Linked DNA regions of Oryzias latipes. The protein of the gene in region 2 purifies or fractionates together with the protein of the main gene of each other region. This does not show direct contact. Links are inferred from orthologs where the notes say so. Each region holds a gene or a part of one and is shown on either strand. Other genes may lie near its edges. The genes, in order: eif3b and eif3e.

Evidence for each region.
Region 1: the proteins of eif3e (region 2) and eif3b purify together in Homo sapiens (affinity purification with mass spectrometry; 9 studies listed by BioGRID and IntAct, counting the BioPlex papers as one, with this or other methods). This does not show direct contact. The link is inferred for Oryzias latipes from reciprocal best matches to the Homo sapiens genes EIF3E and EIF3B.

Annotation. Positions count from the first base shown.
Region 1 is NC_019859.2:21,375,131-21,379,669, reverse strand, and holds the start of eif3b (eukaryotic translation initiation factor 3 subunit B), read right to left. Parts: upstream 2,825-4,539; coding exon 2,722-2,824; intron 1,291-2,721; coding exon 1,098-1,290; intron 1,009-1,097; coding exon 889-1,008; intron 806-888; coding exon 748-805; intron 652-747; coding exon 523-651; intron 404-522; coding exon 246-403; intron 105-245; coding exon 1-104. Other genes in the region: brat1 (BRCA1-associated ATM activator 1), read left to right, coding at 3,367-3,493, 4,314-4,462.
Region 2 is NC_019874.2:3,403,570-3,407,385, forward strand, and holds part of eif3e (eukaryotic translation initiation factor 3 subunit E), read right to left. Parts: intron 2,319-3,816; coding exon 2,192-2,318; intron 1,565-2,191; coding exon 1,463-1,564; intron 1-1,462. UniProt on the Homo sapiens protein: Component of the eukaryotic translation initiation factor 3 (eIF-3) complex, which is required for several steps in the initiation of protein synthesis.

The DNA.
Region 1 (4,539 bases), on a different chromosome or scaffold from region 2:
CGCAGTGGAAGCCTCTCTTCTTCTGTCCAGTCAGAATGTCCCAGATGATGATGGCCTGAGGGTCCTCCTTAGTGTCCATCAAGGGACTGAAGGTCACAACATACCTGCACATTGGAAGCACACGTGAACTTTGGGAAAACTCAGGTGTTTCATTTTAAATGATCCCCAACACAGAGATGAGCTCTGCTCCTCCTCAGAATGAGCTTTTTCGGGATGAAACCTAAAGAAGGCACGTTTTGGATTACCTCTCACATGGTGAGAAGTCGATGAGGGACACGCCCTGGTGGCTGAATCTCTGAATCTGCTTGAACTTCTCACCGCCCCACAATGCAATGCCACGTTGGTGAAAGGTGGCCAGGTAGGTGCCTTTAGGAGACCATCGAACGTAGGTCTCTGTCCAACGCTGCATCCCAACAGAAAGAAAATCTATTACATTTCTCATACTATTCTGAATAAACATGGGTATTAAGAACCACTTATTTGGCTACGTCCAATTTAACGGTAATATAAAAAGTAACTTGCCGCCCTTTCTTCAGCCAGAATTGGCTCTTTGGCGTCATTTGCGAAAATGGCAGTCCTCTCTCCAGCCTCGTAGATCACACTGTACTGGTCACGACAGTCTGGATCCTCTATCCAGTGACGCATATTCCCCTTTGGTCAAATGAACATTTTAGAATCCTGCCGTCACATCGCAATTCTTAGGGAAACAAAACTGATAAATTACACTTAACCAAAAGTCACACTCACAAAGTCTTTGAAGGGCTGCTTTGCTGGAGGGTCCCACTCATCACTGATGTTCATGTACCTGAAAAAAAAAGGCAGGAATTACTCACTTAAATACATCACATAATTTGCAGGAACTGAAGTGCTGTGATCCTGCAAACATACTTGTCAAAGTCAGTGAAGAGGTTGACCCTGAATGTATGCTGTTTGTCAAGTTTGTATCCATCCGCATTTTTCACCGCCTCCAAGGCCTGGTTAGGAGAGGAATATTCCAAGAAGATGTATCTACGCGGACAAAAAAAAAAGTTACTGCATGTAAGCACATCAACTCCAAGTCTGCAACTACAGCTACATAAGAGAACGGAGGCCTTTACCCTTTGGTCGTGCCATCAGCTTCGGGATAAAATTCAGTTGTGATCTTGCCGAACTTGGAGAAGATCTTGTGAATGACGTTCTTGAGTTTCTCCAGCCGCTCCGGCCCCACCTGAGGAACGTTGTCCACCACCACCACAGAGTCTATGCCGTCCGTTTCCTGAGGCTTCTCACGCAAGATGTCTTCAAGGAGCTCTGGAAAGTGAAGAGCGCAGAGTTGAGAGCATTTTAAAAAATGAAACTTTTTACAGTGTTTTATAGTTTACTTTAATACAAATTACTTTAAAATATATATATTAATGATTTCATATCACTAGGAATGTCTTTTACAAGTTTAGGTTAACAGAAAATGCTTCATTTTGTCCCTCGATTGTGGCTCTGTGGCTTTGAAGAACAATTTGAATAAATAATAGACTTGATATTTAAGTGTTTTCATTTATTATTAGATTTTTAAACTGTGGTAATCTTACATAAATAAAAATTCACTTATACATTTTTTAACCAATGGTGATATTAAACTAAATCAACAGCCACTGGAAGGTTTACCATTCCCCTAAATAGCAAACATCAGAAAACAAACCAAAATAATGGCAAAGGGTTGGATCTATTGTCAGAGTGGTTTATAATTGGAATTAGTTTAAACTCATATTCTTACCTTTTGTTTAGTTGCTGTTCAAAGACAAAGTTCTTTCAGTACATTTGCAGCAAGATCTTACTTTATACCGGATGCATTTTATTTTGAAAGGAATTTGTATGCGCTGCTGTCAAAAGGTATATAATAGTAATGTAACACTGTTATAATTATATTATTCCAATTTTTAAAGCTACTTTTTATGAATGAATGGCTTGATGGCCACAAAAAATGTGATTTTTTTCTTCTTTTTCTTTTAACATAAACAGAAAATAAACAGAAAAGTGAGGCTCTCACTGGGTTTTGGTGTAAAATAAACTGGACCATCATGTGCTTCTTTCAGCACTAAAGCTTGCAGACCCCTGATCTATCTGCTTCACTTCTTCCTTTAAGAGGTAGGTTCTTTGGTTAATCTGTAAATTACTTCTGCAAATGTAATCACCCAAGTTCAGTTTAAATAATCCTCCAGACAATTTTAAGTAGTCTAGATTATATGAAATCCATTTGGATGCTGTGTCTCTATGTGGTTAAAAAAAAATGTGAGCTTTGTTAATGCCATGAAGTATATTGTGAAATAACAAAAGAGCATATTTAATTCAAACCTTTCAAAATGTCACAACAAGACAAGAGTAGTGACGTAAATTCATCAATTTATATATTTGTCAAATTGACTTAAAAGACAACTAAAGATGCTAATTTCCCCTTTAACTCATCGACTTAAAAACTGACGGTATAGCATCTGGTATGATGACTGAATGAACGGCGTTCATGATCATGATAGACAAGAAAACCGATTGTTCGTGTGTTTCTTGGTTGATAAAACCTTCCAATTAACTCTGTCGAGACTAATACGGCTTAACTAGTCCATTCTTTCGCCTAAAGAAAATGTCAAACTGACAGCATCTGCAAATATGTCAAAAGCAACGGTCCGTCTAGCTTTTTAGCTAGCAGTTAGCAATAGGCCTACAGCCGGCGCTTTTCCTGCTAGCGCTTACCCTCATCCTCGACATCATCTACGAAGTCCTCCGGGTCGCTGAAGGAAGGCTCCTCCTCCTCCTCATACTCTGGGTCGTCCACCATATCAACTGTATTTCGCATTTAATGGGACTGCGGTTCTGAAAAACCTTTACAGAGGCGCAAAATCCCGGAAAATGAGAGGCTAACAACGAACGACCGGTGAGGCACCATGTGCGAAAATGGACGAAGAGGCGGAAACGTGACGCCGGAAGCGGGTCAGAGGCGCGTTTACGGACCATCGTGAAATCGCAAAGTTGTAAAACAAATGGAGGAGCGACAACAACGAATGCTCAATTAGATTTACTGCATCGAGATGAATACAGATCGAACGGTAGTAGAAGCTACTTTTGCTAGCAACATAAGGGGAGTCACCTGCCAGTAAATTGTTGAAAACTACTTCTTTTTTAGAGTTACTCGCAATATGTCTCAAATACTGACTACAAAATTGCCACATGAAAGTAATTCACTTTTTATCCATTTACTTTTATAAAGGTTTTTTGGTTTAGCTATATGATTTTCGCTTTTGATGAATTTCAATATCGACGATTCGAAGGTTTGAGTTAGTTATCGTGACGTGAGCTCCAAACTTGGTGTATGTTGGGTTTTCCCGGCCATTCTTCAGTATGGATGGAGACTGTGTGTCTCTCCTGCCGCGGGTCTGTGACGTTCTGGCGGCCCCGAGAAGCTCTTTGCCCGATGATACAAGCCTGGAAAAACTGCTGGACTGGTTCACAACATTCAGCAAATCGGGTTAGTTCTGGGAGCTGTTCCCCATACTACGAGTTCTTCCCAGCCAGTCTGGCGCAGTTTTCTTTGTTTATGTGAATTCAATTTGGCCGGGATATAATTTGCACATAAATTCCTGGAAATATTTGAAATTTAAAATTGAAGTACATTTAATAATTATTTATGAAGAGAAGTAGAAGTTCAGGTCCCATTAAAATCATCTTTTGATCAGTTGTAAAATACTTCCCAGTGGTCTTTCAATTATGATTATGCCTTTTTTGGTAACAATTTTAAAGGAAACTGTTATTTTTTTAAGGACATAGTTTCTGCAAAGCAGCAAAACCTCTTAGAAATTTGCATCTGAGTTGGCGGAAGTAAGCTTCTGCTGATTTCCCATCATCCCTTTGTTAACACTCTCTTCTGGTGGCTTACAGCCCCTCACAACCCCAACCTAACATTATCTGTGAAACAATAATAGCGAGCAATATTAAAGCTATCCATTTCCAGGCATACAATTTTGATCCAGATAGACATGGATTTCTTTGTCTGCATGTGGATGCATCAATGGAGCAGAGCAGGGAGCTTGTAGCCCACCCATCTCACTTACTGTGTTTCAAAAGATAGCTTTCTCTAACGACATTTTGTGTGCTCCTGATTCACAACGATTTGAATAAAGATATACTCAAAAAATGCCATTTTAGTTTTCTTTTGTTTATATATGTGTTCCATCATAAGAAAATTACTACAACAACACGTTAAAAAACCCCAAAACACTATTTTCACTGGAGTGGGTCTTGAATGTTTCTGTTATCACACTCTTTGACTGTGTCTCCTCCTGTTGAAGGCGTGTCTCTGCTGGAGGTCAACCCATGTCTGCAGGGCTTCATATCAACTGTAGTTTCCAGCAGAGCTGCAGAGTCCAGCATCATCTCCTTTGCCCTCAAACTCACTGGTTTAGTGGCTGCTGCTGAGGATGGCTTCAGAGCTCTCCAGGTAGGCCTCATATCTCCTGCATTTCACCAACATCACACAGCCATCCACAACACTGATAATGATGATGATGCTCTCGC
Region 2 (3,816 bases):
CATTCACACAAATTTTGGCTTGAAGAGTTATTTTGTGTGCAATCTAAGGGCCTAACTATTGGTAGCCTCTACTTCTCGCTCCTTGACGTGCCTTCATCTGACATCTGACAATGATTTCAGAAACCAGAAGAGTGGGAAAAGAAGAAAAGGGAACCTGTAAAGCCCAAACAGAACAATTTGGGTAGAGCTAAGCATCCCATTAGAAACACATGAGTTGAGCCATTTCAGGGTGGGGAGCAAACCAAAGTCACAAGAGCTTAAAAATAAAAACCCAATTCTTGTTTTTGCAGCCATCTTCATCATAAAAAAGACGAGTGAAACTCTTTTAAAATCTGTGTTCATCACAGAGACGTAACCTGTGTACGTTAACCACTGAAAAAAAAATGTCTTTGCTACCTTCTTGTCAAGCTTTGATGTGAATAATAGATGCTTCTGGACCTCAACCAAGAAACACTTAGGACAATGTTCATCCTTGCAGGCCATTACAGGAAATCCATTGAAAAGGGGCTGTTAAACATTCTGGAAACCACCCGACTCTTTAATCCTTCAAGACCGCAACTTTAGCTCTGGTGCTGACACTCTTTGAACCAGCGCAACTCTTCGACTTTTTACACAATTAACATATTTCCAACAGAACCGGAAGCTGCTTTTCTTTGCTTAAGAATCATTGCTTTACGTTAATTGTGTAAAGGTCAAAGAGTTATGACGGCCTGATGAAGAAAAAGACGAGGTTCATAGCAGTTTATGGTCTCTAATGGATCTGCTACAAGTAAGCCTAAAATATGAGAGGCAAGAGCAATATTTACCAATTTGTGTAAGATACTGTAAAATATGATGTCTTTACCAATGAAGCTGTTTTTAATCTCTTTTAAATAAACCTAAAAACACAAAAACAATCCAGAAATGGGTTTGTTACAACAGGTTTTCTGCCCTCAGTAGTAAAAGTCACCACATTGACTCTGTTCAGCTTTGTCCTTCACAAACAAAAAGAACCTTTATCCTGCACTACTCGAGTTCTATTTTCACATCAGGGATCAGGGTTACATTTGACCTTTACAGACCACAACTGAAATAAGCAGAAACAAGTGTCTGCGGAGACTTTTGCTTAGAAAGCTCTGACTGTTAACTACTGGCCTCATGGGTCAACGACAAGCCAAGCAGAAGCTGACTAAAGCCTGAGTCATACAGGAGACCGTCCTATCTGCCAGTGCGATACAAGACACAAACTGCGGCTGTTCTGTCTTCATCTGACCCACAGGGACAAAGGCACGGGGCCAGAGAAATCACCATTACTACCATGTTTACCACAAAGTTCACTGTTAAAACTTCAAAGACATGACCCACAAAACAGATGTTCTCAAAGGAGCTTGACTTTGTTAGGGAAAGGAACAATAAACAAGACCATCTACTTCTGATTGGACGGGAGTTAAACGGCAGAACGAAAAGTGAAAAGACTACTCACCGACTCGCATTCTCTGAGCTTCTTCTGGGCACTGTCAAAGTCAAAATTCACGTACAGACACTCCACAAACTCAGTGATTGGATCTTTGTAGGTGTAAGACTCCTAAAGAAACAAAAACAGTTTTTTTTCAGGGATGTCTCCATGTATCCCAAATCATGTAAGTCACTACTGAAACAAAAAGAAGTTCTGGACTAATTGCAGCAAAACAGAAGTTTTTTCCCCCTTTTTTCCCCTTTACAAAGTAAAAAAAAGAAAAGAAAAGACAGTGTTTTGTTTTAATTAAATTGCCAACAATAATAACACAGACAACATGACAAATGATTTGCACACTGGCTACAAAGGCTAATTCAAATAGGCTGAGTGAAAACACTCTGTGATCTTCAGACAGTTTCATCAAAGCGGAAAGAGTGACTTCCTCGCCAACCCAAGGTCACCAGGAGGAGAACACAGAGTCCATCTTTTAGTCATTCATTTTAGTAAAAAGCAACAAGCTTTGATCTCTGAAGTCCCTCTGTCACTGGTCAACAAGTAATGGGCATAGAACATAAAAGTCAGGTGGTTCCCCGCCATTCATCAGAAGTAATTGTTCAGAGACGTTGCCAGCAAGGCTGAAGCTCTAAGATACACCTGCTGTGCTTGACAGGAAGGGCTGGACGCTTCCTGTTCCTTCAGACCCTAATAAACTCAGACTATTTCAGCACCTGATGTTTGAAAAAGAAAGTCTGTTACCTGCTGTATGACCTTCACTAAATCCTTCAGAACCTGCCGGCGCTTACGCACATCCTTGTTTGTGATGACCGCTGTGGTTAGGTAACGCAAGATGTGGGGGCACATTGTCTGGATAGCATTGAGATATCTGAAAATGGGCAGACGAAAAAGTATTCACTTAATAGAGCAATGTTAGCAAAGACATGATCTTTACAAAGACACATATATAACATTCTGGCTGCCTGTCAGGGCCCTGGCATTTGGGATTGGGGAAAATACTTTGCAGCTAAACAGATACATTTTCCAGCAAGACCTTCATCTCTGCAGCTTAAAGCTTTCTCTTTCATTAGTCCTGTGAGAAAGGGGGGAGGAAGAGGAAACCCTGGCAAGGGGATATAGCTCTTGAGCAGGGACCTGCCCGGTAGCAGAAACTTAATCCATGAGGGACTGATGCTCCAACCACAGGTCAACTTGCTAAAGTCTGAAAACAAGAAACACAATGCTGTTACAGGCGGATTCTAATCCCACACTTATTTCAGAAAGAGGATCCTGTACAAACATGCAACGCCAGCACGCAAAATCCACTTTACTTGTCAGGATGGTCGTAAATGTACATTACCTGCGTCACCAGAGCGGTTCTTTAAATATGTGACCACATCTGATCAGAAATAAGGAAGTGGGCCCCTTAAGGTCTCTCAAAGCTATGGCCAGAGGAACACATGGCGCTCAAAGCAACCGTCCTGACAACAGTTTAATTAGCCGGATCAATTAGAGGGACAGGGTCCTGTGGTAGCTGTGATGTTGAGTCTAAAAACAGCAGTGGGCTACATGGCAAAGCCCGTCACCGGTCTCCTTTTAGGAGAGCTCCCTCCTTCTCTTTGTAGTTGTTTGACTTTTAAGGAAGACCACAATGCTTCATGCTGTGTTCCTGATTAACTTACACCTACACACTACTGGGGCCTCAAATAAGGGATCCGGCGGGAGTCCCCGCATCATGTGCAGTTAGACGGTTTTCACTGTAGCCCTGCTTCAATGGGATTTGCTCAGAAATATCGAATTTTTCTCTGAGTATAAGTCAGAGTTTTTCACATAGTTTGGCCAAGGGGTGCGACTTATAAGTGTTTTTTTTTACAAATACATATGCGCCTGTGTTTTACAAATACATATGCGCCTGTGTTTGTTATTTTCCTATCAACAACAACTAGAGGGCACTGCAGTTGATGGAGCAGTATTTGCTACTGACAGGAACCCAGAACAAGAAGCTCCGTTCATTCTTAAGGCCCGTACACACCGGGACGAATTTTCGCCAGCCGTTATTCGCCAGCGGTTTTCAACACGTTTTTTGTGTTCACACCCAGGCGAATTTCGCTGACGATGAGCCGAGCGAACATGCAATTTCATTCCCTGACATTAGATGGCGCTTAATGTAAAACAGAAATACTCCTGTACACAAGGTGGCGCTGCGCAACTTTACGCTTCTTAAAGTCGCTTTTCACTCAGAAGAAGAGAGCAAGTATTTACGTGCTTGTCAGAATCATACAAAGAAAACATGAATATTTCAAGCATCAGTTGCTCCAGCTCCAGTTCCAGCGATGAAGAAATGATTGTTCTGTTGAATGATGAAAGACGTCGGAAAAGACGTCGAT